Linked DNA regions of Rhinolophus ferrumequinum. The protein of the gene in region 3 purifies or fractionates together with the protein of the main gene of each other region. This does not show direct contact. Links are inferred from orthologs where the notes say so. Each region holds a gene or a part of one and is shown on either strand. Other genes may lie near its edges.

The links.
Region 1: the proteins of IRAK1 (region 3) and MAP3K7 purify together in Homo sapiens (affinity purification with western blotting; 5 studies listed by BioGRID). This does not show direct contact. The link is inferred for Rhinolophus ferrumequinum from reciprocal best matches to the Homo sapiens genes IRAK1 and MAP3K7.
Region 2: the proteins of IRAK1 (region 3) and IRAK3 purify together in Homo sapiens (co-immunoprecipitation; 3 studies listed by BioGRID and IntAct, with this or other methods). This does not show direct contact. The link is inferred for Rhinolophus ferrumequinum from reciprocal best matches to the Homo sapiens genes IRAK1 and IRAK3.
Region 4: the proteins of IRAK1 (region 3) and PELI3 purify together in Homo sapiens (affinity purification with western blotting; 7 studies listed by BioGRID and IntAct, with this or other methods). This does not show direct contact. The link is inferred for Rhinolophus ferrumequinum from reciprocal best matches to the Homo sapiens genes IRAK1 and PELI3.

What each region holds. Positions count from the first base shown.
Region 1 is NC_046286.1:47,046,400-47,053,827, reverse strand, and holds the start of MAP3K7 (mitogen-activated protein kinase kinase kinase 7), read left to right. Parts: upstream 1-4,272; 5' UTR 4,273-4,441; coding exon 4,442-4,561; intron 4,562-4,659; exon of another isoform or gene 4,660-4,869; intron 4,870-7,428. UniProt on the Homo sapiens protein: Serine/threonine kinase which acts as an essential component of the MAP kinase signal transduction pathway. Plays an important role in the cascades of cellular responses evoked by changes in the environment.
Region 2 is NC_046293.1:62,865,548-62,873,539, reverse strand, and holds the start of IRAK3 (interleukin-1 receptor-associated kinase 3), read right to left. Parts: upstream 3,169-7,992; 5' UTR 2,312-3,168; coding exon 2,167-2,311; intron 1-2,166. UniProt on the Homo sapiens protein: Putative inactive protein kinase which regulates signaling downstream of immune receptors including IL1R and Toll-like receptors.
Region 3 is NC_046284.1:6,426,911-6,434,173, forward strand, and holds the start of IRAK1 (interleukin-1 receptor-associated kinase 1), read left to right. Parts: upstream 1-4,036; 5' UTR 4,037-4,084; coding exon 4,085-4,220; intron 4,221-4,303; coding exon 4,304-4,471; intron 4,472-4,568; coding exon 4,569-4,700; intron 4,701-4,818; coding exon 4,819-4,922; intron 4,923-5,105; coding exon 5,106-5,294; intron 5,295-5,530; coding exon 5,531-5,595; intron 5,596-5,781; coding exon 5,782-5,896; intron 5,897-6,657; coding exon 6,658-6,776; intron 6,777-7,263.
Region 4 is NC_046294.1:5,518,124-5,525,930, reverse strand, and holds the start of PELI3 (E3 ubiquitin-protein ligase pellino homolog 3), read left to right. Parts: upstream 1-4,587; 5' UTR 4,588-4,764; intron 4,765-5,866; 5' UTR 5,867-5,867; coding exon 5,868-6,019; intron 6,020-6,592; coding exon 6,593-6,664; intron 6,665-6,733; exon of another isoform or gene 6,734-7,807. UniProt on the Homo sapiens protein: E3 ubiquitin ligase catalyzing the covalent attachment of ubiquitin moieties onto substrate proteins. Involved in the TLR and IL-1 signaling pathways via interaction with the complex containing IRAK kinases and TRAF6.

The DNA.
Region 1 (7,428 bases), on a different chromosome or scaffold from region 3:
AATAAGGTAGATGAGGACACACCATAATGTTTTTATTTGACAGAAATTGCCATATACCAGAAGCATGTGTTATGTGGAGCACTGTCATGATTTATGGCACACTTTAAAACACATCTTCTCTCAACCGTAGCTCACACCCGCCTGACTGCACTGAACAAGTTGAAACTTGTCACACACTGTTACTAAGGTTCGATGTGCTGCTTCCCATATCAAAGATCCCTGCCTTTGCATCACATGGCACTCGGCAGCAGCATTCATTGTATTTTGTGATCACAACAGAAAGGCTCTGTGTCACACATCGCTTGAGGTATGTCAATTTCCGCCAAATAAAAACATTACAGTATGTCCTCATCCACCTTATTCACCAGATTTGGCACCATGCAACCTCCGGTTCTTCCCCAAAGTCAAAATGACCATGAATTGTAAATGTTTTGAATTGATTCAGGATATTGAGGCTGCCATGACAGCACAACTAGACACAAAAGAGGACTTCCAGAACTGCTTTTGAAAGTGGCAAGAACGAAGGGATAAGTGTGTTTGAAGAGAGGGAGAGTATTTTGAGGGGGATTAATGGCAATGTGTCTCTTACTGTAATAGGTTTCTTTAAACATTCACTGATTTTCTAATCACATTTCGTAAGTGTTAAGATAGAGACAACTACAGGAAATCGCAAATCAAAGTTGGGAACACCCTACCTGTAGACCACTAGTACATAGGAATAGAAATCTAACATGCAAAAAACATGCCTCTCCTAGCCTTTTATGGGGCCCAGGGGAAAAATATAAATGGAGGTTCACATATTCTATGTCTAAATATTCATAAGTTCTAACTCAAGATAACCAACTTATAAAAGAAATACATTCTATCTTCCTACCTTGACAATACTAACTTCACTAGAATGCAGTGATGTGATCAAAACTTGCCTTCAGCTCCTGACTTATCCCCCATCTCCTCCTACTCTGGACTCAGTTCTATACTGCAAGGAACCTTACACACCCACATGTGGACACCCTGACCTACCCATCTGAGCCCACTCACACTCCCTCCCCACAAAGAGATACCCATTGGCTAGCCCTCAAGACCCAAATTCATTGGTCACTTTTGAGTTTTTCTCATGTTTAACTTCTTGGAAGAATTCAACACTGAAAAACCTTTGTATCTTGGTTTCCACTCATCATAATTTTGTTTTCCACAAATTTCTTTGGCAGTTCCTCTACCCATGCCTTAAAATTTTTATTTCTTAAATCTGTTTTAAGTCCTACTCTTTTTCACTTCTGTAGGTGATCTCATTCATTTCCATGAATTAAATTATTATCAGCAGGCCAATACTGTTACATAAGACCGGGTCTTATATTAATCTTTGCTCCAAAACACGTAGTAGAGCTGATTGTCCGGCTAGGTCTTATTTTCGGGGAAACACGGGAAAACGGCAGAAAACTATTTCAGAACTTCCTGGAAATAATATTTGATCAGGTTGGCTAGTCTGGTTCTGAGACAGGGAGTAAAGACAGCACTTTTTAGGTATAGAGCAGACCTCTGAATAATAAACATATGTTGGTTGCATATCCAGCAACCATTCCCTGCTTTGTGCCTCTTAAATCTTCAGATTTTTCTCCTAATTAGCAGCTGCTCCTCTTCCAAGCCCCTGCTTTAGTGAGTTCTGGATCTAAGCTAAACAAGATATTTGCCTCAAACCTCCTGTCCTCCATTCCTCACTCAAGGGTACAGTTGCCAAAGTCTTTTAAAAAAGAAAGTTCCCTGCTCTTCTCAGATAACTAGCTACTAAAAGAGGTGCTTCCTGTCATTGTACTGAAAAGTGTGATGTCATATGAAAAATTAAACTGCTAGAGCATGCATTCTCAGTGGGGGTAAAATCGCCTCCAAGGGGTGAACATTGGGGAGAAAAAAATCTTACTCTTTTTATGTATAAAGCAGAAATATGTACACAGTACATAAACAGATATACAGTATTATCTGTGGTATTAAAGCTTTGGGGGGCATTAGAAATAGCCTTAAAAGACTCCTTAGGGGGCAATGATATTTTAAAAGGTTGAGAACTACTGTTTTAGAGCAATGACAAATACCACAAAAGGCAGAAAGCAATCATGGAAACTCATTATTGATACTATTATTAACTTTAGAAATCAAATGACACCTGAAGCCTGTTCTAGCTCTTGACTTTCCACTTAACTAAGCCAATTAATCCCCTTTATTGTTGAAGCCATTTCTCACTTGGACAACTGAGTAGATGATGGGATCCTTCATAAAGGATCCCAAATGCACACAGAAGAACAAATCTGTGGTGGGTGATAACTTCTAAATTTGCTTTTGCAAGTTTGAAAGGTGTTTAGGTTTCTATTTATCATCTAAATAGAGATGTCCAATAGGTCCAGAATTCAAGAAAAATTTGAGCACTGGGAGAGATTGGGAGTCATCATAAAAGTGGTATAGGAAGTCAAGGCCTGGAGTAAAATTATCCAAAGAGTGTGGAATAAGAAATTATTCCTTCATTCTTTTATCCATTCACCAAACTATCGAGTGTTACTGGAACTACAAATAAAACATGACAATGTTTTCCACAGGAGTTCCTGTCTTCTTGATTGCCAAATCCAATACCCTATTTGCAGTCCCAAATGTGTTTAACTTACGTCTATACAGCATTTATTTGGCTGCCTTTTTCTTAATTGGAAAGCTCTCCTCCAGTGATATTCAGGTCACCGTTCCCGTTTGCCCCTTTCTGTTCCTTTTCAGTCTCTTACCGAGACTTAAAATTTGACATTCACAGGGTTTCATCCTTGGTCTGAAACCTTCATCTCTAACTCCAATTATCCTAGTTAACTTCAACTCAAATTGACTAAATAAACAGCTAGTTCAAAACTAAAATTTGTGTTGATAGTACAACACAGGCAATACTTTCCGCCTTGGAGATACACTGACCTAAGTTCTACAAGCTTGTGAGGATCATAATTGTTTTTGACAAGGAGAAAATTCTGCAATGTTCTAAATTACAGCGTAGGGAGAGTGAGACAGAACTGTTAGTCTGTTGATGGCTGCTCGCCAGCTAACAAAAGACTGCTCACAATCTTTGTACTGCCTATTGAAACTTTATACTAATTTCCAGGTGGTTATTACTACAGGTGATTTTAACCAGGCACCATCCAACTCCAGGAGCTCCACTTGTTTACATGTGGGCTTTCTCCACTGGTGCCCACAGCCAATCTACAGAAACGGACATTTTTTATGGGGACCCTGCGCCTATCTCACCTCCCACCCTTTTCCTACAGCTAATGTAAATTCTTTAAGACTACCTTTCTTGTCCCTTCCCCCTACTTGATGTATAAAAACGCTTGCAAAACTCTGGGAGGATGGACATGCTCTCTTTTCTATCTAGCCATGCTTCTGGTGGTTTAGACTCCATGCTCCAAGACCCGTCTTCTTTCTGGCTTAGCACTTTGGCTCAATAAAACTTTATCTTAAAAAAAAAAAAGAAAAAGAAAAAAAACTTCAGTTATGGAAGTTATCACTCCGTATGTATTATTAATATTAATGCAACCCATAACTTCATATGAACATAACAAATTATGTCAAACTATTTATTTCTACCTTATCTAATATTAACTTCTGTTCTTGAGAACTCAGCCTACATACTGTTATCCAGATTATATGCGCTGGCTCGCTCTGTATTATTTTCGTGAGACTCTCTCCGAGTCAGAGACTGACTCAAAGTAACAGTAGCAACTGTTTCCTTCCATAAACCACACTGAGGGAAACACCTTTTCCAAGGCTTCTTAAAGAACTAGTTCAGCTTAGCTTAGGGGTGAAATTAAAATGGTTCATCACATAAACTCAGTCCAACACTACCCCGGCCGTCTGCAGGTCTCTGCGAGAAAAGGGACCAGGGCCATAACATACTTCACCAAGTAGAGGTGAAACCATAGCTTTTATCTTTCCCGCTGGTTCCTAAAGGACCAACCGCACAGACATTCCATCGTGCTCCGCGCTACTTCCGTTCGCGCATTTGATTTACGTCAGAGCGTCAGCTCTCGCGGTATCATCCGATTGCTGAGGCCCTTTAACAAAGATCTCGCGAAATTTGGTCTACAGATCTAAGCTAGCCTCTTACCCTCCCCCGCCCCACCCCCAAAACTGTCCTTCCTTTCTCAGTCTCAGTTAAAAAAATTCTCACTTCCCCTCCCTCGAGCTCGCTACCCTCCTCCTGTTTCCGATTTCAGGCCGGAACCGGAAGCTTAGTGGGCGGGGCCCGGCGGCGGAAAACGCAGCGGAGCCGGAGCGGGGACTCCGCTGTGGCCGCTGCCCCTGTCCCTTCCACGGATCGCCGTGGCTCCAGGCTGAAAGTCGGTCAGGAGGCGGGTGGGCGCGGGTCTCCCCCGGAGTGTCCGGGCGGCAGCTTCCCCGGGCCCCCCGGGCTCCGCGAGGGATCATGTCTACAGCTTCCGCCGCTTCCTCCTCCTCATCGTCTTCGGCCGGTGACATGATCGAAGCCCCCTCCCAAGTCCTCAACTTTGAAGAGATCGACTACAAGGAGATCGAAGTGGAAGAGGTGAGCGAGGCCCGGCACGGAGGCGCCGGCCCCGGCCGCTCCCACCTCTACCTGTTGTCGACTCTTAAGGCGCCTCCGCGGCCCCTCTGATTCACGGAGCCCCTCGGGGTTCACCGGGGAGTCCCAATATCCCCACAGAGACCGGGTGTAGAGCGGACTCTCCGCGTTCAACTGCTCGGGGGTAGCTCTATTTTTCCCTCACTTCGGCACTCTTGAGTTTGGATTTGACACTCCGGTGCCTGGATTTGGGTCATCTCAAACAGGAGGATGAACTGGTGAGACAGTGTGGTCCACCAGTTCTCTCATCTGTAAGTAGTAAATTCATCCAAGCCCGTGGCCGTTTTGGAGTTTCGATTCACTAAGACATGGTGTTCTTAAGGGCCAAGGATTGTACTTTATATTCGACATTAGCTCTGCCTGGCACGTAGTGGGTGTTCAGTAAATGCTTGGTAAATTAATACATCATTATATCTAACAGTTTCCCCGAGGATCGAATGGTTTGTTTCGCCGATTCCCTAGGAGCAGTAGGGAATGTTGTGTTCTGCCTTCAGCTGGACTAAGTCAGATGAATTTCAACAATAGTAATATACACTGGTGTGCGATGAAAAGATGTTTCAAGTATCGTATTCTGAGGCGATAACTAATGATTTCGGTGACAACTAGAATATAACACCAGACCACAAAATCGCTGTTAGAAAACCCGAATCTATACTTTATTTTGCAGTAGTTTAAGGGTAATAACATGTGCCTGTAATACATTGCTGCTTTTCAAATTCAGAGGAGTAAATTGGTTCTAAGGACCATAACATACAGAAAAGCAAAAATTGTATATATTTTAAAGACACACTTTGCAAAGTGTTAAACCTTTGGTTGAAAATAGTATCTATCAGTTACCATTTACTTATCAGTTTTAGAATTTATTAAGTACTTTGTATTACGTATTCCACGAAGAACCCTGTATGTCCTATATTACAGACTTTTGGTTATCTCTATTTTAAAAATCCAAAATTATTTTTAGGTAGTGACAAGCTAAAAGATAATTATCACTTAACAAATAAGTTTCTTTTCTATGAATGTTTTGGAAGAAGAATAGGTTACTTAATCATATTTTTTTATTCCATAAAGAAACCTTAGAGATCACCGAGAACAACCTTATTTTACAAGGTAGTTTAAATGGGAAGAACGAGGCCTTTTGGAGTTAGAGGAAGGTCCAGTATATTAGCTATGCCACTTAATAGTTGTGTGATTTGGAGCAAGTTTCCTAACTAATCCCTTGGAGCTTTAGTTTCCTTAACTGTAAAATAGGGGTAATTTCTATTTCATTTTACCTGTATAACAGATGCTATTAGGCAACATATGCATTACACCCAACACAGTGCCTGACACATATTACTAGGAAACAGTTCCAGAGTACAACAGTGACCTGCTTTAAGGTCACATAGCTAAAAGAAGGACCTGTGGTTTGGAAAAAGGGGGGGATTTTTGTGTGTGGATATGTTTGTTTTGTTTTTTTCTATTGAGGCTAAGATAAATTCCTTTTTCAGAAGTGGATAGTTTATCCAACTTTCATGGCTAACATTCTTTCTTTTTTAAGAATAAAAATTCAGTGAGTCTTTCTTTTTTAAGAATAAAAATTCAGTGAGTCAGTATAAAAGAATTGCAGTTTTTAAATAAGCATTTACGTCTACTCTGTGGTGAACTGTCATGCTTGTAGACTACAAATTGTTATATAATAATAACTTGTACTTCATGGTCTACCAAATGCTTTCACTGAGTTACATCATTTGATCCCTACAACATTAGGTTCTGCACACTACTTTCTAAAGCATTTTACATTCTCGCTTCTTGGAGGAATGAAAGTTATTAAAAGGAGACAGTAACTTTTTGCTGCTCTTCCCCCAAAGCCATTTAACTTCTAACTAGGTTTTTATATTTCCAAAGACCTTTCAGTTTAAATAATGTTTCAACCTTTCTTTGGTATACTTAGGACATTTCTGAGATGTAGTTTTTTGTTTTTAAATGAAAATTTCTAATATTAGGCAATCATTTAGGGTTTTTTTTTTTAAATACCCAGTTTATTTGCCCTTTAAAGATTATATTTGGATGTTTCTGATGTTGCAGCCATTACATAATTTTCATCAGATTTCTTCATTTGCATACCTTAAAATTGTGGTATATGATCCAGAGTGCACCATGGGTACTCAGTAACTATTTCTCAACTTAGATTCTGCTTCTAGGTTAAAATCATTAATAAGAGAACAGAAAAAGACCAGAAACAGAAAGTATTTTACATTGCTTTTAATATTTTGTATAAGTATAGCCTATAAATAAAGAAAATCATATTCCAAATTTGTGAAATAACATTGTAATTGAATCCGTATACTGATTCATTTTGAAACTATGTAAGAAAAATACTCCAACCACAGACCAAATATACAGTCATTTGTTTAGTTGATGCATATGTTTAAGGCATCAGCTGATTTAAATGCTTACATCCCTAATAGTGTGCCTCTATAATCAGTGTGGCATTTCCTAAATTCAGTTCTGATATCAAATTATGAAAGGTCTCAGCCTTGGAAATCTACATAGATACTTTTTGTTTTAAGTCATTTAGTTTTTACCATTCTGGATCTGAGTGTAGAGAATGTTAGAGTAATTTCTCTGAGGTATGTACATTTTGGGAACTAGCTTGCAAGAAGAGGTAAAAGTGGTGTGATATGGTGAGAAGTGTTCTTGGTATTTAGAAAATTTAGATTCTGCCATAACATATTTCAGTAACTTTGAGCAAGACACCTCATTTTTCTTGTCCTCTGATTTCTCACATAACATAAGAGATTGAAAAAGATCACTTAAGTTCTTTTTCAGTT
Region 2 (7,992 bases), on a different chromosome or scaffold from region 3:
AATTTAAATAACCCCTGTAACAATCGGCCCCAAACGGTCTGAACTTGATTAATAACTGACGGCTTCCCTAATTTTTGCCCCTGCTTCCAACTTAGGGCCAACTGGAGAAAGCCAAATATGCACCCCTGAACAATCACATAGAATCCCCCACTTTTAGTTAGCCCTTTTACAGTTTTCTCATGTCAATAGCCTACAATCAGGGCATACCTGAAGCCGACTCTTTTTTCCATTATAAAGCTTTTCTACTCTTCTGCCTGCCTTTGTGTCTTTGTCAAATGCAAGTAATGGTGGCTGACTCACTCGCTTTGAATAAACAGCCTTTGCTTGTTCTCATTTGGGTGGCCTTCAATTATTTCCATAACTAGGAAAATGGGGCTGCATGTTATAAATGGTTCACTGAATCCTTGTTATGGCAGAAACGGCTGTAACTTAGGGAGGCTGTAAGATGTAGCAGAGAAAGCACAGCAGTACTTGTAACTCTGAGGAAATCATGGTTGGGAAGTGGGAAATATAGAGTGGCTGTAGGTAAGGGCACAGACCCTAGATCCAGACTGCCATGGCTCATGTTCTGGCTCTAGCTGTGCCAATTTGGGCAAATTACTTAACTAATCTGCACCACAGTTTCCTCACCTGTTAAAACACTGGTGATGATAATAGCACCTGTCTCATAGGGCAATTGGAAGAGTTATATGTAACAACCCATGTAAAGTATGGAATATCTGGATTGCAATGGGGAGAGAGAGAGAGTAGGGGAGGGGATGGAAGGGGAGGGGACAGGAGGGGAGAGGAGAGGAGAGGGGAGAAGAGAGTCAGGAACACTGGGCTAAACATACTGAAAAGCAACAGTCACCCGGAACTGAGTACTACTAGTAACTGTCCCTTTTGGATGAGACATATTTTCTCCCATTTTCAAAGTGTCCACCAACCTGCTTCACTCATTTATGATACCTCCCCGGCCCCATTTGCTACCCAATAGACTAGGCTAAAAACATTTTCTCTCACAAATGGAGGGAAACCAATGGGTGCGAAAACTGCCAATGCCATCATTCATTTCAAAAAGATCAGGTGTGGGAGGGATCTTATCCCTCAAATGCATCCTGGAAATCTCTATGTTTTCCAGAAATCAAAGACTCAAGTATCCTTTTCTGAGGGTTTTACTTAAGGGTCATAATTTTAAAATTATAGGGCTTATATAAACAATTTTTATATAACTGGAAGCCAAATGCCACATTGCAGAAAGTGTGACCATATTTAACAACAACAAACAAAACTTTCCTCATAGATCTTCTGCTATTCTTGGTAAGATAAATAGCTATTTCAGAGAATTAAGGCTAAGTTGTTTTGACATAATTGTGTTTATTTTCAACTAAAATTAAATGTGGCATCATGGAGTATCAAATCTAACCAAAAACGCCTGCACTTAACAAAACAAAGATTTCTGTCTGAATCATTTCTGGTGATCACACTCAACACTTCCAACAGGCAGTTGTGCAACCTTCCAATGACTGCATAAAATGGAATTCTGATGCCAACTTTGGATTGAAACAAAAAGCCATTTTCTAGCATAAATCTTCATTCCATCAAATTGGATGACTATGATACATGTAATTAAGAAAACTGGGAGCCACGTTAATTACAAACAGTATTTTACTTTAGCATTTCACCCAAAATTTAGTTAAGGTGGAGACGGGAATGCACTGAAAACACCAAAGGAGAAATATTAAAGTTATAAAAATGTTATAATATGAAAATTATATTCTAGGGTAATTTAGCAATGACAAGACATCACATCGCCTTTCGGATTTTAAATACTCTGAACCAGGGAAGGCAGAAATAATTGATAAACATTAGAAGGTTTTAGTACGTAGGGTAACTTTTGCCCAAGCATCCTCTCACTTTATCTTCCAGCGATAACCAAAGGTTCTTTGAAAGAGAAGGGAAGGCTCCTGGGAGGCTCTCTGAGAGTTTTGTGTCCTTCCCAAAACAAGGAGAGGGCAGTTAGCCCGTGGGAATCCCCCGGGGGCACGCCGCGGGGGCGCGCGCTCCCCGCTGCGCGGGACCGCGCCGAGCTGCCCGGCAGCGCGGGCGGCCGGTCGGACAGAGCGTGCGCGCGGAGGCCCCCACCACCCCTCGCGGGCCGCGCCCGCCGCCGTCGAGCGCACTCACCCAGGCCGCGCCAGCCCAGCGCGCCGTCGCAGCTGTCCAGGACTGAGCAGACCTGGCCCAGCAGTGCGGGCGGCAGATCGAACAGGAGCGTGTGCACCGAGAGCGCGCCGCTGGCCCCGCAGTTCCCCGCCGCCGCCCAGGCCATGGCTCGGTTGCCGGAGACCAGGGGCCCGGCGGAGGCGGGATGCGGAGCCCAGGTCTCTGCACGCCCGCGAGATGCCGTTACACAACCGCGGAAATCCTGCTTCCACGACCGGGGCCAAGACGGCAGAACACGCCGAGCCGAGGTCCTGGAAGGGGCGGGCCCCACATGACGCAAAGCACCACTCCCCAGAGATGTCCACGGGGACGCCCAGCCTCGCCTTGGGGTCTCCCTGCCTCTGCTGATTCCTTCACGTTGGCTTTAAATTTCAGGCAATCCTTTCATTCCTCTGGGATTGGGACGTGACTGAAGACACAAAGCAAAGAGTGAGAGCTGGAGAAAGACCAGAATGCAGAACTAATGGACAGTCTGCCCCCCCCTCTGCCTGCCTGCCCTGGCATGACCGTCTCTTGAAGTGGATGGACATGAGAGCTGCCATTACTTCTTTAAAAAGTTTATTTCGTTTTATTTTGGTCAGAAACCCAATACATTAAGGAACACTTGGAAAAAACAGAAAAATTAAGAAGAAAATAATCACTCATAGCCCCACTCAGCCAAAGACAACCAACAACCTCTCTAAACGTTTTGGCGTATTTTCCTTCCAACTTCTACTGGATTTAAACAGATACATGTGCATATATGAAGTGACTATTGGAAAAGATGAACACGAGAGAACAAAGCAAAATAAAATTGTGGTCATTTTCTTCACGAAGCTGCTGCCCATTCTACATACTGCTGTTTGGTTTTACTGTGTTCTCTCTGGGATTTACTGATGCAACATTGTTAGCCCACCTTTTCCTTCTTCATTTCGCTTTTAACATGGAGGTTAGGTAAAACTGACCATTGTTTTGAAATCTTCTGCCGTTTATGCTGTAATATCCCCCCTGCAGGCCTGAAACAGATGTTCTGATAAAAAAGAGGAAATCCTTTGAAAGTGGTGAGAAAAATCCCAACCTTAAAGCCTGGAAGGGTGGACAGTGACTACCCACTGAAAAATATCAACACCTATTTGAAACTTTTCAAATTTGTAGTCTTTGGGAATGGCGCCCCCTAGACATCAACCGTGATGGTATGCTATCATTCAGTGCTCTACCAGAATTTCCAAGTTGTTCTCAGCTAAAGTTTTCCACAGCATATATTTGAAAATTGCTAAAGGCAATACCGTTTGGGCAAGAGTTTCTATGTCCCTTTGTTCAAATGGCTACGATTTTATTGTCAATCTGTACACGCTTAAGAAACCCTACACCTCTCAAAGGGATTACCTGAATAAAGTGAGAAATGGAGGCAAGATACGATTAAGTAATAGGTAGGTTTGAATTGCTAGAACAGAGGAACCAAGGTCAGATACAGGAGCCAGGAAATCATTATGGGAGAGTGAAGCAGTCAGCAAGGCCAGATTTTTCTGATTTACAAAGAAGCCAGAATTTTATGTGACAGCCAGATTATATGAACTCTATATAGATTATGTGAAATCTCTTGTATTTTCAGTGTTGGTAGTTAGTGTCAGACCATGCTCTCTCCCTATTCCCTAAAACTGCCTCTGAGTTTTGAATTCTATATCATCACCCTGTATCACTCAGTACACTTCCCTGTTGCTGTCATTCTCTGCTCCCCGCCCCCCACTCAGTTCCTTCTCCTCCTCAATTTTAGACTATGTAGCTCCTTCTCACTATAATTCTTTTCAATACTAATCCCGTCTTAATTCTTGGTGATTAACAATATATGTAGAATAGATGATCTTTGCAATTCCCTGGACTCTCAGTACCTTGACTCCTGTCCTCCGATGATCTTTTCCTCCACCCTATTTCAATCACTCATGCTCATGATCATCCCCTAGAACTTGTCATTATCAATAACTGCACCTCATCCATAATTTCTGTTTTATATTATGAATCCACTCTCTGACCACACCTTCTGTATTTGCCGTGCATTCCCTAGTACTCTGACCTCAACAATCGCCCTGCCCCTTCAAGATACCAAATCCAAAATCTTGCCACCTCATCTCTGATGCCACCCTCTTGATGTCCTCACTTGTCTCCTTATCTATAAAGTCCAGACTCTATTATAATTCCTCCCTTGCATCTGCTCATTCTCCTGCTCATCTCTCACTTTGTTGAACTGCCTTGGCAAATCTACCATCCTGATTAAATCCAAATTTCCAATGTGGGGCTCTGCACCCATACACTTGAGTGTAGCTGGAGTGAAAAAACCCAAATCTTGTTAATTTGACTCAATTTAAAATCAAAGCCATGACTCTCAAGTGGGTCCTTTATGCTGCCAGGCAGTTACACTATGTGCCTTTAGTCCATTTGCTCTTTTGGTCTCCTTGACAACTGTTTTATGCCTTCTCTTTTCTCCTCAATTCTCATCCTCTTCTCCCCAATCTTCATGCTCTGCTGATGACCATTTATGTTCATTGAGAATACTGATGCTTCAGGAGAAAACTTCCGTGTTGTTTTCACTACCGTGTTGACCTACCTACCAGCGTCTGTACCAAAGTAACACTCTGCCTGCTATTCCATAGCTGTATTACCTAGGCTCCAATTTAAACCTAATCCCTTCACTTGTGCACTGGATCCTATTTCCTGTCCCCTACTCAAAGACATCAAGGGCAGCTGTTCTCCTTGCTCTCGGCCCTATCTTCAATTTCTCACTCTTTACTGATCAATTCGATAACCATACAAATGTGATGTTATTTCTTCTCACCTTAAAACAAAAAAATAACTTCTTTGATACCACTTCCCCCTTCTATCAACCACCCAATTACTTAGCTCCCTTTTGTAGTAAAGTGTTGAATATTCTTACAGTCTCCAACTTTTCTCCTCTCCTCTTAAACCCACTCTAGTTAGAACCGCCCCCTCCTACCTGACTCCACTGAAATTGCTGTCTTCAGAGTCACCTTATGTGTTCCTATCATTGCTAAATGTAATGTCCTCATTTTATTTGATCTGTCAATAGTTTTTGACAAGTTGATCACTACCTCCTTCTTGGACACTTTCTTCATTTGTCTTCTACAATCTCTGACATTTTCACTTACTTCACTAGGCACTCTTCAGCTTTCTTTGTTGTCCCTCCTCTTCTCCCTTAACTCTTAAGGTTGGAGTGCCCCAGGGCTCAGTCCATGATCTTTTTCTCTATCTATACCCACTCCCTTGGTAATCTGGACCAGTGTTGAGCCTTTAAAACCACTTATCTACTTAGGACTGCCATATACGAGGTGTGACAATTAAGTTCGTAAACTTGTTGCGACGATATTGCTAACCATTTTTGATATCAGAGGGATTATTCATGATGAATTTGTGCCAACTGGACAAATAGTTAACCAACTTTACTATTTGGAAGTGCTGAAAAGACTGCGTGTAATGGTTAGATGACTTGAACTTTTCACTAACAATTCATGGCTCTTGCATCATGACAATGCGCCAGCTCACACGGCACTGTCTGTGAGGGAGTTTTTAGCCAGTAAACAAATAACTGTATTGGAACACCCTCCCTACTCACCTGATCTGGCCCCCAGTGACTTCTTTCTTTACCCCAAAATAAAGGAAATATTGAAAGGAAGACATTTTGATGACATTCAGAACATCAAGGGTAATATGATGACAGCCCTTATGGCCATTCCAGAAAAAGAGTTCCAAAATTGCTTTGAAGGGTGGACGAGGCACTGGCATCGGTGCACAGCTTCCCAAGGGGAGTACTTCAAAGGTGACCGTAGTGATATTTAGCAGTGAGGTATGTAGCACTTTTTCTAGGATGAGTTCATGAACATTATTGTCCAACCTTGTATGTTTAACCCAGACCTCTCTCTCTCTCTCAAACTCCAGACTCATGTTCAAAATTGAACTCTTGATCATGCCTCCCAAACCTACTCTTACAATTTTCCTTGTCTAGGTTACTCAATCCTTCCAGTTACTCGAACCAAAAACTATAGAGTCATCTTTGACTCCTCTGTTTGTCCACAGCCCACGTTCAATCCACCAGCAAATCCTGTTGACTCTATTCAGACTATATCTAGAATTTCACACTTCTCTCAATCTCCACTGCCACCCTAGGTTTGATTCATCATCATATTTTGTCTGAAGTACTATAGTTGTCCCCTAACTAAAAGCTTTCACTATTGCTTCCTATAGGCTTTCCTCAAAACTGCATCCAGATTGATCTTTGAAATCAAATCTGATTTTGTCTCTCCTCTGTTCAAATGTCAGAGTAAAAGTCAAACTCTTTATACTGTCTGAATTCTCTCTCCCACTTCCGCTCCCGCTGCCCCTCTGCTCTGTGACCCTGTGATATTGTTTCCTTGTTCGTTCTGCATTAGCCACACTGTCTCCTTGCTGGTCCTTGAACACACCAGGAGAGTCCCATATTGGAGCCTTTGCACTTGCTATTCCCTTGCTTGGTATGCTCTTCCCACTTGGCTAAGGTCTACCCTGACTCCAAATTTAAAACTGCAGTGGTCTATGCCTTGAGATTCAGGCTGGCATGTGACTGAAACTGGCAATAACATATGGCTTGACAGGGACCAAGTTTCAAGTTTCATTCAGATGTCTGTTTCTCTGGATCTGAATAGGAACAGTTAGCAGTTCTGGCCATCTCTGGAACCATTTTGCAGCCACATGCAGATCAATATTAGAATGAAGTGATCCCCGAGCATCATCTAGTGAGAGAAAAAAACAGATTCCTGGTAACATCATTAAGTAGCTCATTGATTCTTTGCGTGGAGAATGTCTTCCTTGTGGACTTAAATGACATAAATTACCTTATTAAGCCAGGAATCTCGTTATTTTCAGCCAACCACATACTAACTGATACAGTGAACATACATTTGGTAATACTCCCTGATTTGTTGAGGGCCTATAAAACCCATGGGAAGGAAACTAAACTCTGTTGAAAACTGGAGTTCAAATGTATACAACTATATCTGTGGACTGTGAGATGGGCATGGAAACTGGATTGCAGAGAGAGGCAACTGAGCCCCTGAGAGAAGTGTTAGTAGAGAATGATTCTAGTAGCGTGGTCAGAAACAGTGTGAAGTTCCAGATGATCCTGAGCCTGTACTAGAATCCACAACCTACCCTGCACCCTACCCACCCACTCCCAGCATACATGCCTTCTGGCAAAGAGAGGGCTGTGGTTAAACCTCAAAACTGTTTCACTATGTGACCTAGTCTTTTGCCATGGAATCCTCTCCAACTGCAATTCCCCCCACCCACCCAAATTTTGGATATGAGAAGAAAAAAGTGTTTCCATCCCATCTGAAGGGAAGAGAATTATGAACTGCAAAGATTAACAAATGGAGATGCTGGGGAAACCCTGAAGGCTATCTGGTGACAATGGCACAGGTCTACAGTATTATTAGTGGCCAAGCACAGACTAAGCACAGGCATCAAAGTCTCGGAAATCTGAACAAGTAAGAGAGAAAACAGGTGAGGCAGATAACAGCTCTGAATACATATAGGACAACTACCTTGGTGGCAGCTATTTAGCCAGCATCCATAAGGATGAATGTTCAAAGGACACCCAAGTTTGTGGGATGTAGATTTTTTGGTTTTGAAAATAATTTTCAAAACAAAGATCACTAACCTATCCTATCGTTAAGCCTCATCCTACCCCCGAGCCATAACATAGAGGGTCATAGGTGCCCTGGGGTTCAGGGATAGGGTAAAGATCAGTAATGGGGTGACAAC
Region 3 (7,263 bases):
GAGGGTGGGGATGGTGACCAAGATGAGAGGGGCTGTCCTATGTCCCCTCCCAGGAGGGGAGATCCAGAGAGATGGCCCCCGCTCAGATCAGCCAGAAGCCACCCAAAGGAGTTAAGCCTATGCCAGCGGACCGAATAGCTGATGTGTTGCCATTTTCAAAGTCAGAGCAAAACCAGGTCTTGTTCCACCCGGTGGATTCTTTTGCCTTCCCCCCCCCAAGATTATTGGCATCATTGTTATTTTTAAGAACAGACAGGTTCATGTTCCTGCGAGGGGAGTCAGGAGGGTGTGAGCAGGGCCGGCCTGGCCTTGGTAGGAGGCTGGGGTGGGCCTGAACGGCCATGGCTCAGACGAAGGGTGGGCACCTCCCTGGAGACCTCCTCTGCTGTGGCCACAGGTCAGGTATATGCTGACGGGGCAGACTGGCCACTCTTCGCCTGACGCAGCTCTTTCTGGACAGGCCAGGTAGCGGGCATTACCGTTTAGTAGGACACTTCCATCACATCCCACCCCGTCCCGCAGCGCCCCACACTAACGTGACCTCTTATCTTAGTCCCCACCATCTCGTGTGATGAGATGCGGAGGGTGCGCTCTCTTAGCTGTCATCCAATTCCCAGCAAAATTTGGACGTGAGAACCCCCCTTCCCTTTCCATGGCAAAGCCAGACCCTTCTCAGAGAAGCTGTTCCCCCCACCAGACGGTTTGGGTTCACGGAACGGACAGAGATGTGCTCACTTCGCGCCAGGCGGCACCTCCTCCCGAAGGTGAGGGTAGTACTCACTGTAGTGACCATTTGCACGTGGGGTTTGGTAGCGGGTAGAACCAGGCAGGGTGGCTGCCCCCCCCCCAAGTCTCAGTGACACAGGCCAGCCACCCTGTGCAGAGGGAAGCCCGGCTGAGGGTGGGAGAGGTATGTGTGAGGCGCGGGGAGCCGCCCAGGACAGACTTGGCTGGAGATGTCTCAAAAAGCCCTCTATCACATTCACCTTCAGTTTTTGTGTTTTGGGACAATTACTTTAGGAAATAAGTAGGTCGTTTTAAAAAACAAAAAATATTGATTGCTTTTTTGTAGTGTTCAAAAAAAGGTTCTTTGTGTATAGCCAAATGACTGAAAGCACTGATATATTTAAAAACAAAAGGCAATTTATTAAGGAAATTTGTACCATTTCAGTAAACCTGTCTGAATGTACCTGTATACGTTTCAAAAACACCCCCCACTGAATCCCTGTAACCTATTTATTATATAAAGAGTTTGCCTTATAAATTTACATAAAAATGTCCGTTTGTGTCTTTTGTTGTAAAATCAAGTGATTTTTTCATAAGGTTCTTTTACTATTTGAAAAGATGGGCAGCACGCAGTTTTATTTTATTTTTGTAAGTTTTTTAATACGTGTGAAAGCAAAGACTACTCAGCATGCCTTTCTAAGTGACGCGTTTGCACCTTTTGTTGGGAAGTACTGTATCCTGTGCTGTTAGCATTCTCGATAAATCTCTCTGTGAAAGTGACTCAAGGTCTGGGCTTTCATTATCAGACAGCTCACAGGACAGCATGGTGGTGTGTTTCCTGATTCGGTCTGGCTGTCCCTGAACAGAGGAGAGCCAGCCACTTTCAGGACCGCCCTGAGAGGAGAGGGCAGCCTGCTCCATACACCACCTCCCCTTGGGCGTTCCAAGGCCGCCCTTGCCAGGCACACTGCTCCTGCATGTGTGGGGAAGCTCTGGGTGGCAGGCTGGGAAGGGCCTGGCACAAATCTGCCCGCCGTGCCCTAGGTCAAGAGGCAGGCGGGCTGCAGAACAGTGGCACAACCTCCCTGTTCCTGAGGGCCACGGTAGGGGTGCCTCTTTGGTCGGGATGTGCCCAGGTGCTTTTGGAAAAACAGCCCACTCCCAGCTCAGGCTCCTCCTGTGCCTACCACCTGAGACCCTCCCATAGCCTCTGCTGAACTGGCTCCCTGCCCAAGGGGGGCGCTGTCATCACTGGGGTTTGCAGGTGTCACACCCTGCCTGTGCCCCTTGGCTTCCCCGTAAGGCTCTGGCCTCTCTGGAGCTGTCTGCCCCGCACGGTCATCCTCACCAGGCCCTTGCTGGGCTGGAGGGGACAACTGCTCCGTGTCCAGCTTCACGCGCAAAGGTGGACGCACCTATTAGAAGGTGCACTCGAAAGCCTTGGCCTTAAACGTTAAAACAAAGGGTTGAAATTCAACCTGTGTGCACTGAGCATCTTGTGTGTGCCAGGCCTGTCCAGGGAGCTGCAGTCCAGCAGTGAGCAAGTAGGGCCAAGCGTCTGTTCCCTTAGAGCTCAGTGTGTGTGTATCCGCATGGTAATTCCCATCCTCAGGGTATGGGTGGCCCCCTCTGTGGGAGTGGCTGACACTTCTGGGAAGAGGTTCCAATGGACGCCCATATTGGGCGCGGGTTTTTGCAAACATCCCCGAGTCCCTGGGAGGACAACCTGGGGTGGGGAGCCCTCTGGGGTCAGAATCGAGAGGACAAGGGGGATGGACGGTCAGGGAAGAACTGTTACCTTGCAACAAGCATGCCTCTAGCTGGAGAAACAAAAGAAGAAGGCACCTGGTACTGTTGGCTGGGTCTTCCCCATCTACTGGGGGAGGCTCAAGAAGGGCACACCAGAGATGCCAGGCACAGCGGGGGCTGCAGACAGCTCTGCCACAGGGCCCTAGGGAGCTTGCACCCTAGCTTCCACCTGGAGAGCTGTTTGAGCTCAACCTTGTCACATGACGGCCAGGAAACTGCACGTGCTAACTCGTGGACACAGAAGGCCTGGCGCTTTCTCGGAATCATAAGGAGTTCTGGATGGCTTACGGCTGCTGGTGTGTGCAGAGCTAGACATGAGGTGGGTGTGCAGGGGCCATGTGGTGACGGCCATGGAGGCTGCAGTCCAGAGCTGCGACCCATCAGAAGGCTCCGGGAAGCACAGGAGTCTTTTGGCAGGAAAGCCCTGTGGCTTGATTTGTGCCAGAGGAGGAGCACCCAGGCAGACATGAGGCGCGGAAGCCATGAGGGAGCCGGCAAATTCATCCAGGTAAGAGGTAGTAGTGAAGGCAGTGGGCCCATGGGGAGGAGATGGACTCCGGACATGTTTGGGGAGAAGACAGGAACATAGTGGCTGCTGATGCGGAGTGGAGCCATGGAGGCTGCAGAGCACTATGGGAATGGGCAAGAGAGACAAATATGACCCAGACGCCAAACTGAGCTTGGTGCCTGGCCACTGCCTCAGAAAAGAGAGTGGGAGAGAGAGGCCTGACTGCCGCCCTCGCAGGGGGAGCGCAGACTGAGCCAGAAACGTGATCACGAGAGGGAAGAGGGACAAGAGGAGCTGAAACCTTGTTTTTAAGAGAGACAAGCACGGTTCATGTGCTAGTGGGAAGGAGCCAGCAAAGAAGGAAGAGTGGCAGATATTGCTACGAGGTAACAATTGCTGATGCAGGTGCCTGCAGGAGGGAAAAGACGGGATCCAGGGCACAGGAGGTGGGCGGAAATGCTCTGAGCCGGGGCAGCCTGCGGGTACGAGCTTCCAAACCGTTCTCCCTGCACCCGACCTCACGGGCCAGCTGACGGGAGTGAGCAGGGGGTGGGAGTGGGGCCTTTGTGGAACCCCCATCTGACCCTGTCCCTCCAGCATCTCTGACGGCTCTCCATTGTCTCCAAATAAAGTCGACACGTCTTAAGGGGACGTCCCAGCGGCTGACGTCCTCATGGCCTCCGTCCTCTTTGCTGAGAACGGCTCTCCTCCATCCGTCAGAGCCCCACTCAGACGACCCCTCCTCCTGGAAGCCCGCCCTGCCCGCCTGGCCCCGCGCAGTGGCGCTGCCTCCGCGGGAAGGGACCGCTTGTGGCGCCCCCGTGTGGCCGAGGGCCGCGGTGGCCGCGGCGGCCGCGGCAGCGGGCAAGATGGCGGAGTCTCGGGTACCGCCCCTTCCGCCCCGGCGGGCGTCGCACGAGGACGGCTTAAAGGGGAAGTGAGTCAGTGTTTGCGGACCCGGCCGGCCGAGGCCCGCGCCCGCCGTGGCCCCGGAAGGCCCCGAGAGGCCCCGGCCCGGCGGCGGCGGCAGCGGCGGCGGCCATGGCCGGGGGGCCGGGCCCGGAGGAAGCCGCGGCCCCGGGCGCACAGCACTTCTTGTACGAGGTGCCGCCCTGGGTCATGTGCCGCTTCTACAAAGTGATGGACGCCCTGGAGCCCAGCGACTGGTGCCAGTTTGGTGGGTGGCGTCGGGCCGGCGGACCTGCGGGGCGGGGGGCGCGCGGGACCCAGCGCCCAAGCCTGACGCACCCCACCCCGCAGCCGCCCTGATTGTTCGCGACCAGACCGAGCTGCGGCTGTGCGAACGCTCCGGGCAGCGCACGGCCAGCGTCCTGTGGCCCTGGATCAACCGCAACGCCCGCGTGGCCGACCTCGTGCGCATCCTCACGCACCTGCAGTTGCTCCGCGCGCGGGACATCATCACGGCTTGTGAGTGCGCGGCTCCGGGACCCCAGGACCGGAGGCCTCTCACGGGGCCCCTCCCCCTGCCTGGGCCTAACCATCCTTTCTGTCTTTGACGTCCCAGGGCACCCTCCCGCCCCCCTCCCACCCTCCAGCACCACCTCCCCGAGACCCAGCAGCCTCTCTGCACCCTCTGAAGCAGAGGCCCCCAGCCCCGGGAAGTTGCAGTCGTCAGCCTCCACTCTCCTCTCCCCAGGTAAGACAGCCCTAGTGTTGGGCTTGATGGACCTGAGAAAAGGGCCACCTTGACCATGGCCATGGCTGTAGATCCTGCCCCTGGTCTCTGCCTGCCTCTCACTGGTGTCTTTACGAAGCTTTTCCAGGCTTCCAGGCTCATTCTGGGCCTGAGATCGGCCGTGTCCCAAGCCCTGCTGCCCTCCGGCCACCACCACCACCACCTCTATCCTCTTCTACCAAGGTAGGTGGGTCCTGTCCCCAGGAAAGGTTCCAAACAAGTAACAAGAAACCCAGTCTTTGGTACACCAGGGATCCCCAGCCAGCCCAGCAGGGCCAGCTGGGAGGCAACTGGGATGGAGGTAGCTTGTGGCCAGGGCAGAGGGGAGGAGACAGGACCTTACCTGATTGGGGTCTCTTCCCACAGCAGAGCGCAGGGAACCCAGTGTCCCTCCTGCAAGGTACCCACCCCTCTCCATTCTGCTGGCCCCTCCATGAGATTTCCCAGGGCACCCACAACTTCTCAGAGGAGCTGAAGATCGGAGAGGGTGGCTTTGGGTGTGTGTACCGGGCTGTGCTGAGGAACACAGTGTATGCAGTGAAGAAGCTGAAGGAGGTGGGTTTAGCATCCCAGCGAGGGCCCTGGAGGGCCAGCAGCAGACCCTCACTTTTCTGGTCCAACCCCCTGCTTCCCACACAGCTCCTTCAGCCCTCTGATTCCCCAGCTCAAGCCCCCCCCCAGCCCCTTGGTTGTTCTGGGCCCAGGACAGATGGCACTGGGAGTGGCCATCGAACCTTGGCTGCAAGAGCCTCATGCTGCCCCTCTTCCCCCGTTTTCCCTGGGGGCTCCAGGAGGCAGACCTGGAGTGGACCACTGTGAAGCAGAGCTTCCTGACAGAAGTGGAGCAGCTGTCACGGTGAGCCTGGGATGTCCCTCTAGGACCATGCACCACGGGATCTGGCTCCCTCAGGCCCCCGAAGCTTGCCATGCCCAGCCTAGCTGAGAAACCAGCAGGGACTGCCCACCCCCGACTGACACAGCCATATGGAAAGCGCGGTGGAGACTGGGTGGCAGAGCACTCAGGCCCCAATTTTCCAAGCAGGTTTCGTCACCCAAACATCGTGGACTTTGCTGGCTACTGTGCTCAAAGTGGCTACTACTGCCTCGTCTATGGCTTCCTGCCCAATGGCTCCCTGGAAGACCGCCTCCATTTCCAGGTAGTCTTACCTGGCCCGGCACGTTTCCCCAGACCCACAGCGTCTGAGTGGTGTGGGGCATGGGGCCTAGCGCCTGAGCTCTCAGCCTCCGTGAGTGGGTCTCACCGGCAGGCAGGGCCTAGGCTCAGGGTTTGGCCCAAGGTGCGATGTCGTTTGCCCCAGAACTCTTTCCCATGGCCTCTTCCTGGCTGTTCTGCGTGCCCAGGAGCCTGGGACCATGGTACCTCTGAAAATGGGGTTATTGACTCCGAGTAACCTGACTCGGGCTTCTTCCCTTTGCAAGCAGAGTAGCTGAAGGGTCTTGTCAGTATTGCTCTTGGGGAAATGGGGCAGTGGCAGCAGGCTGCACTGTCTGGACCCACAGTTGGGCCCTGTCTAGCGAGACACCCACAAGACTCAAGGGCGAACTGCACACTGTGTTGGGAGAAGTGGAGAGAAAGCCTCCAGTGACATCCTGATCGCCCTGGGACAAATGAATGAACTTCAGGAACTGAGGACCGCGGAATTCTGTGATGACTCTGGAAAGCACATTCTCAGCCATTTTCCCAGCATGCTTTACAAAGCAGTGGGAATAGCTTAATCTCGCTCCTCTTGTAATATAACTCATGGAGATTTTGCTCCTCATTTTTCAGAAGGAGAAACAGTCCCAGAGAGTGAAGTGCTTGTCCAGACCCCGTGGTGACAGGTGGAGGGAGGGTTGGGGTCAAGGAATGGTGGCGCCCAGCACCCCCTGTGCCCCTTTGCTCCCTCTGCTGCTCCAGGCCCGGGCCTGCTCCCCACTCTCCTGGCCTCAGCGCCTGGACATCCTTCTGGGCACCGCCCGGGCGATTCAGTTTTTACATCAGGACAGTCCCAGCCTCATCCACGGAGACGTCAAGAGGTGAGGAGGGGAAACAGCTAGTCCCCTGGGTCCCCTGAGAGCTGCAGGGGCGGAGTCCATGGCAAGCCCATGATGCCCCCAAACCTTCCACCAGCAGAGCGTCTGGTCCCCAGGAACCCTGCCCTGAGTGCCCCCATGAAAATAGGTCTGCCCTCTCCTGCTCGAGGCAGAGGTGGGGATGGTGCAGCCCTGGGACGGGACGTCAGAGCTAGGGGCCCTGGGTAACGAGTAACTGGCATGGGTGGGACAGGTGTGGAAGCGGAGTCCAAGGATGCCCCACTCGTGGGGCCGAGCTGTGCAAGGGTGCACTGGGCTCTGCTTGCTTGGAGACTCTAAGGAAGCTGGAATGATCCAGCAGCACTAGTCGCTTTCTGTGAGCAGGGTGCAGGTTGGCAGTCCGAAGTCCGATGACGTCAGGGCCAGGCAGGTGTCGGGGGGGCAGAGCGAGCTGGGGCCAGGGCCTGGCTGACACGGTTCCCTTCTCCCC
Region 4 (7,807 bases), on a different chromosome or scaffold from region 3:
ATTCCCACCACAGATGAGGTCCATGATTCTCCAACTCAGGGCAGAAAGTGGCTATCTCTGAATCTCTATTTCATATTCCCAACAGATGGAATGGATTGGCCCATACTAGGTCAGGTTGGCTCCCCATTCCACTAAGCTGTGGCTAGGGGATCATGTCACAGAGATGAACATAATTGCCGGGGAAGCATCATTGGGACTAGGGGAAAGCAGGTGCACTGGGATGCCCCACAGTAAGTATTTAATAACATTGTTAATGAACGGGTAAAACTATAAACAAGAAGGCTTTCAGGATTTCAAGATCTCGGGACAATTTTTAGCCCCTCCTGTGGTTTTTGCTTCTCTCTATTCACCTGCCCTTCCGCCCTATGTCCTCTCACTGGCTTCCTCAGCTCCCTCGGGTTCCGCCCCCTCTTCAATCACCGTGCTGATGGCTGTCACAGCTTCACTAAGCCCCTCTACCTTCTGATCTTTTAGCTGGAACAAGTCCCTACCCATTCAAATTACAGAGTGTGAGGGTTTGATTGAACCAACTCATCGTATTTTTAACATTGTTACTATTATAAGCAAACAGAAAGCTCCTACAACAAGATGTACAGCTTAACCAGCTATTACAAAACGAGTATTCAGGTGACTATCATTCGTCAAGAAACCAAGCAGCACCCTGGACAGCACCCTAACGCTCCCCATGTGCTCCTTCCAGGTTATAACCACTGTCCTGATTTTTATACATTGACTTCCTTGCCTTTCTTTATTTTTACCACCTAAGCGTGCATCCTGAACTGATATACCTTAGTTCGGGCTATTTATGAGCTTTATATCAATGGAATCATACTCTATGATTCCATTGTATGTGTTTGGCTTCTTTTGCTCAGTCATGTTTTTTTGTTTTTGTTCTTTTCTTTTTTTTAGTAAGAGCTATATTGAGATATAATGCACATATCAACCATACAGTTCACCCATTTGAAGTGTACAGTTTACTGACTTTTAGTATGTTCACAGACATGTGTAACCATCACCACAGCAAATTTTGGAACATTTTTATCACCTCAAAAAGAAACTCGTACACTTCAGCTATCACCTGTCATTCTGCTACCCGTCCCAGGCCTAAGCAACCACTACTGTATTTTCTGTCTCTATAGAGTTTCCTGTTGTGACATTTCCTATAAATGGAATCATACAGTATGAGGCCTTTTGTGACTGGCTTCTTTCACTTAGCGTAATGTTTTCAAGGTTCATCCTTGATGTTTTCAAGGTTGTGGCACTTATCAGTACTTCATTCCTTTTTATGGCTGAATAATATTCCATTGTATAGATATATTAAATATTGTTTAGCCATTCAACAATTGAGGAACATTTGGATTATTTCCACCTTTTGGCTATTACAATAATGCCGCCATAAACATTTGTGCACAGGTTTTTGTGTGGACATATGTTTTCATTTTTCTTGGCATACACCCTAGGAGTGGAATTATTGGGTCATGTGCTAACTCTATGTTTAACTGTTTGAGGTACTGCTGGACTGCTTTCTTAGGTGGCTGCACCACTTTACAACCCCACAGGTTGTGTACAAGGGTGCCGATTTCCCTACATCGTGCCAACACCTGCCTGCTTTTTCCTCAATCTACAGGTCATCCTTTCCCATTTCTTTGTATGACTTATAATTTTTGTTGGAAACTGAATATTTTAGATAATATATTGTAGCAACTTGGTTCTGGTCCTCTGCCTCCAGGGCCACTGATGTTATTGTTATTTGCTTGTTTAGTGACTGGCTGGATTATTTTTTTGAAGTCCATCCTCCCCTTCCTGCAGCCCGAGTATAAAGCCTCTGCCCTTGGTCCTTAGGGAGTGCAGCCTTGGGTGTGCCTGCAGTCACCATGGGATGACAATGGTTTGTGCAAGGCTCTCCTTGACTGACTCTTTCCCTGACCACACCCAGCTGTGAAGCTCTACTCATTGCCAGCTGAGTTCTTTATTGTTTTCAACAATGTCTTGGGACATAAATTGCTCCAATCGAAGACAATCAAAGACTGATCCAATCAAAGGAATAGAGTTTGGGTCCCCAGATCTATCTATGGGGGTTCTATCTTTTTCCAGCCCTACCCTTCCACCTGTGACAAGGCAGAGCCCAGCATCTTAGCTCTTCTTTCTCCTCTCCTCTCCAAATTGGTTTAGCCCAGAAAGTTTGTTGTTGTTGCTTTTGGTGTGTTTGTTTTGTTTTTTGAACATCCTTTCTCAACTACATACACAAATATTATTCCACATTGTTTACACTAGCCCCTTGCCTTTGTTCACTTGAACCCAAATATTGAAGAAATCAGGGTTATATCTTGTTCCTTCCCCACCCCCCTTTTGTTTTGAAGCAATAGGGTCATGATCTAGATTGAAGACAGAGAAGGGAGGGGCTGAACAAAGGAATTTCAGAACAATACTGCAAATGTTTATGCCACCACATAGGTCCTATCATTCCCATTTTATAAATAAGAAACCGAGGCCTAGAGAGATTAAGAAGCTGGATTTCTTGGGACAGAGCACCGGACTTAGAGCCAGAAGCCAGCCAAGGATGAAACTTGGGCACCTGTGTCTGTTGGTGGTGTCCTAACTCTCCTTTCTTCTCCCCCATCTGGACAATGCTGGAATCAGGGTCCACCCCAGGCTCCCAGAGACCTCTTGGGATCTGGCTGTGCCCACCATGCAGCTCTGATTCCAGCTGAACCCAGCGCTCTACCACAGGAGAAATCTCTACCTCCTGTGGCGAATCCTGGAATTGCTCTCAACCTTTTCTCCCTGCAGTCTGGTGTCAGGTGGTGGTAGCATTGGAGCTCTGGTCAAACTTCGGATCCATACTCGCCTGGCTTTGTGATCCAGGGCAAGTATACCCCCACCCCCACCCCCACCCCCCCAAAAAAAACACCCAGCCTCATTTTCCTCACCTGCAAACTGAAGATTCTAATAGTAATTCAGCACACATTCACTAAGGGCCTTCTCTCGCTGGCAACGTGCCAGAAACTGGGAGCACAAAGGAGAGTGAGGCTGTGCCAGTGTCCCTGTGGCCTAAGATGGCTGTGCATACCTGGCATGGAAGAGGGCCTACTGTAGGCACTCAGGGATGGAAGCTATCCTGTGGCACAGGACTTGTATGACTGGCTGCAGGCAGCCCAGCAGTCCAGTCTGCTCTGCTCAGTGGTGGCGTCTCAGGGAGTTTCTCTTTGATTAATGAGTGCCTTGTCCTTAAAGGACTTGCAATCGGCAGCTTTCTTGTTTCATCTGGCTGCTGGGGCCTCAGAACAGTTGGCAAAGCAGTTGGTATCCTGAACTATTTTTAGGTGGGGGAGTTAGTGGGGTGTGTGGATGTGGTGAGGCCCCGGGGGTCTTGGAGACTGGGAGTTTTGTAAGCAACAAGTTGGGAGTGGGGGGGAAGGACGGTACCTCTCAGGAATGTATGGGCAAACTCACTTATCCTGCTTGGCTGGGGCCAAAGGCCATCTCCTCTGTACAACCTTCCTTGATTTGCTCAATAAAACACGCACTCCAAAGGCGCAGGTAAAGGGGTCACCCTCTGAGCTTCCCCCAGCTCTTGATTATGGTTCCAAACAGACCAAGCAATAATGAGCTGTAGGGATCTTATCTGATGTACCTCTGAGCCCCATTCTGCCATCGCTAGTCGTAACAACAAGGTATAGAAGTTAGGAGTCCAGACTTTGGAGTGACACAGCTGAGATTCACTCTTGGCCCCGTTCAAGCAAAATAACCATGACCAAGTCAGGTTCGTAAATTTGTTTTCTCATCCGTAAAGTATGATCGTGCTTGCCTCCCAGCAATTAAAGGGCTTATTTTGCTTAAAGCACAGAGGATAGCACCTGACAACACACGACAGACGAACTATCTCGCCAGCCGAGGCCGAAGGGGTTGCGCGCCCTCAAAAGTCTGCATCCCTTTTGTGGCATGACGCGTGGTGTGAGCGTGCTGGCGGGCAGGAGGCAGGTGTTCCTGGACACCTGGCGGTCCAGGCCCGCTGGAGGTCACCCAGCAAGAAAGTGGCCGAGGTGGGCTGGAAGACGGGTCTGCAACTCCAGTCAAACGCAGCAACTTTCCACGTCCTCCCTGCTAACGCACACCCCTTCCACCACCTTCTCTAGTATTTTCCTTCTCTTCTCTTTCCCGCCTCCGCTCTCTCCTCTAATTCCGCGGCTTCCCTATATGGGAGTTGGGGTCTCGGGCGGGAAGAGGAGAGTCCCCGACCTAAGCTGGGGAAAAGGGGCTTTCTGCCCAGAGCGAAGGCCCTAAACTGCTGTGGAGGAGGGGGCGCCCGGCTCTCTGGGAGAATCCGGAGTCCCGAGAAATGAGGGTGGGGTCTAAGGAGCCCAAACTGGGCAAGCCGGGGGTCGCTGAAAGGGCGATGGTGGCCGAAGGAATTCCCGAGACAGTGGTGGGAGGGGCTTTCAGGACCGGGGGAGGAGCCAGGGTGGGGGCGTGGTCTCCGGAAAGGGGCGGGGCTCCGAGGACAAGCTCCAAGCTTCGCCGCAAGAGGCGGAGTCTCGTGTGGGGCGGGGCTTTCCTGAAGGCGGGATCTAGTGGGCGGGGCATAGGGCAGGGGGCGGAGCGTGGCGGTTCGCGCCCGTCCCCCTCCCCCGGCCCCGGGTGTCCCTGTGACGAGGCAGCACACAGCCGCGGCGGGCCGGGCCGATCCCGCCGCAGCGGCCCCGGGGCCGAGCAGGGGCAAGGCGCGGAGACAGCGGCGCCAAGCGGGTCCCGGAACGCGGCCAGGTAAGGCCGCCGGGGCGGAAGGGGCGGGGGCTGCGCCGGGCGGGTCCTGACGGGCGCGGGGTGTGTGTTTGCGTGTCTGGGGGTGGCAGGGGTGTGGGTCCGAGGGCGGGCGTCTGTGGCAGTTTGCGCGCTCGCGCGGGAGGTCGCGGGGCCAGGGTGGGCTCTGCGCCAGTCCTGGCACTGCCCGCGGGGCTCGGGGAGTGCGGGACTGTGTGCGTGCACGCGCGTGTTTGTGTGGCGGGGCCGCCGGGTGTGTATCTGCGTATGCGCTGGGCTGTCATTGTGCCTGCCCTGGGCGCAGGGCGCGGGCCTGCCCCGGCGCAATCCCTCCTGCGCGGGGATGTTTTCCAAACAGGCTTCCTGCGGAGACGGGCTCTGCTGCAGCCAGAGCTGGAGGGGGGTGCGCCGCCCCCACAGGCCTCCAGAAACCCGGTCGGCCCGGGGACTGCAGACAGACACCTGAGGGAGGAAGGGGGCGCGCACCCAGGAGGGGTCCAGAGGCCTACCCGCAGGCGAGGCCAAGATGGGGAGACTGAGGCAGATGGATAGGGAGGTGGAGGTGGCCAGACAGGCAGAGATGGAGAAGAGGGTGCGAAGAGAGGTGGTGAAAAGGACAGAGCCTGGAGAACAGAGAGGCATTGAGAAGAGACAGACAGACAGAGGCCCAGACCTTCAAAGGTGCAGAAAGATTAAGATGGACAGACAGATTCCAAGAACCTGACAGAGGAGTTACTCAGTGGTCCTAGGGCTGAGAGCTAAACCCAGGAACTGAGTCTAAGATAAGGAGTAAGGGTCCAGGCCAAAAAGAAACCTCTGGCCACCCCAAGTTGGTCCATCCCTTTGGCCCCACCAAATTTTCTGACCCTCTGTGTGGATTGTTTCCCTCTTAGTTCCATCAAACCCATCAACTCCCTCCCCTGGTATCCCAGCAACCCTGGCAGTTTAGGAGAGGCAGAGGTGAAATGGTTGCCATAGCAACAGAGGCAGTGAAAGGTCACTCTGGCCTTAGCCTAGGTGGCCCTGCAGCAGGCCAGAGCTGGCATTGAGGGGGGTTGGGATGAGAGGCTGCAAAATTCTTTTTCTCCTCTCCCATTCTGCCTAGAATGGTGCTGGAAGGAAACCCTGAAGTAGGGTCCCCCAGAACCTCAGACCTCCAGCACCCTGGGAACCAGGGCTCTTGTGTCCTCTCTTCTCCCGGTGACGATGCACAGCCAGGCGAGGAGCCCATCAAGTATGGCGAACTCATCGTCCTGGGGTGAGCATCCTTGGTCCAGGTGTGGTGGGGCACCAGGCACCCCCACAGGACAACCTGACCCAGGGCCCCAGTTCTCCCTACCTACGACCTTCTGCTGTTTGTCCCTCTTTACCTTCTCATCTAAGAGACAGAGTTGACCAAACCCTCCTTAATTCATAATTGTTCTTTTATCTTCCCATTTTTCATAAATTACTGAAACAACTTTTAACTGCCCACCTAAGTTTCTGATCAGAAAAAAGTAACACTGCTGCCTTTCATAAAGCACCGTGTGTGTGTGTGTGTGTGTGTGTGTGTGTGTGTGTGTGTAGTCTGGAGTGAAGAACTCTGGTTTTCTAGCAAAGTTGCTTGGTTCAAATCCTGCCTCTGCAAGTTGCTTAACTTCCCTGTGCTTCCGTTTTCCCCTTTTACAAATAGGGATGATGATAATAATACCTCAGAGGGTTGTCAGAAGGAATGAATGAGGTGATTTCCGTAAAGCACATAGAACAGTGCCTGGCACGTATCAAGTGTTCTGGGAGGCAGGCCTGTGCCAAGCCCTTTCATGGACATTGTTTCATTTCAATCTTCACCAAGATGCTGTGAGGAAGGAGGTGAGGAAACCGAGGCTCAGAGAGGGGAAGTGACTGGTCCAAGGGCACACAGCTGGTAAGTGGCAGGGCTGGGATTTGGACCCAGGTCTTTCTTACTCTAGGTCTAGTGCACTTTCACTAAACCACAGCTGACCCTCATGCTACAGATGAGAAAACTGAGGAGAGAGGAAGAGCCGTGAGTTGGTGGCTGAGTAGACCTCCTCCCTTCCTGGTCTTTGCCTGACCAGGATCCCTGCACAACCCACTTAGTTCATCCCCCAGGCACAGATCCCTCTTCCTCCCCAATCCATGTATCTTTTTGGCCTCTCTTTCTGCCATCTGTCCTGAAGAAAACATCTGATAAGCTATCTTATCATTATGAAGATTATGTAGAAATAATGGCTACTGTTTGTTGACATGTACATGCCATGTGCCTTTTATGAAAAAAAAAGCTAACATTTGTAGAGAGGGCTTGTTGCATATATGCCAAACTCTGTGCCAACCATTTTAAATGCTTTATCTCGTTTAGTTCTCACAATGAACCCATGAGGTAGGTCCTGATCAATTGCCCCATTTTACAGAGGTCATGTGATGAGTGGAAGAGCCAGGATTTCAGCCAGGCCCATCTGATCCCCAGCCTGTGTCCTGAACTGCTCCACCCCCATATGTGAGAAGAGCTTACAAGGGCAAGAGTGATACCCGCCTCAGGGGTGCTTGTATTAGACTAGCATCTGCTCACTGTCCCAAAGACATGGCTGGCTTTGCAGCTGAGAGTGAGGCCATGACAGGGGAGATTGCAGACATAGGGTCAGGCCCTTTGGACAGCCGGTGGTTCTCTGCAGAGCAGTGAAGCCCCACACCGACTGTGCATCAGGGCCACCTGGAGAGTGCACTGAAAATACCCAGTGACGGGACCATCCCAAACCTGCAGAATCAGAATGTCCATGGGTGGGGCCACGGATCTGTTTTTTAACAAGCTGGTGAGAAGATTCTGATTCAAGTGGTCTGTGGCTGTATTTAGCATCTATTCGTTCTGTCACTCCTGCTGCGAACCTTCCATGGCTCCCCACTGTTTACAGAATAAAGTCCTGACTCCTGAGCCGGATGGTCAGGGCCCTTCCACCAACTTCATCTTCCCTTACGGCACTTCACCACCTGTCACACCGGACTCTGCCAGCCTCGGGGCCTTTGCTCAGGATGAGTCCTCCCTCCAGAAGGG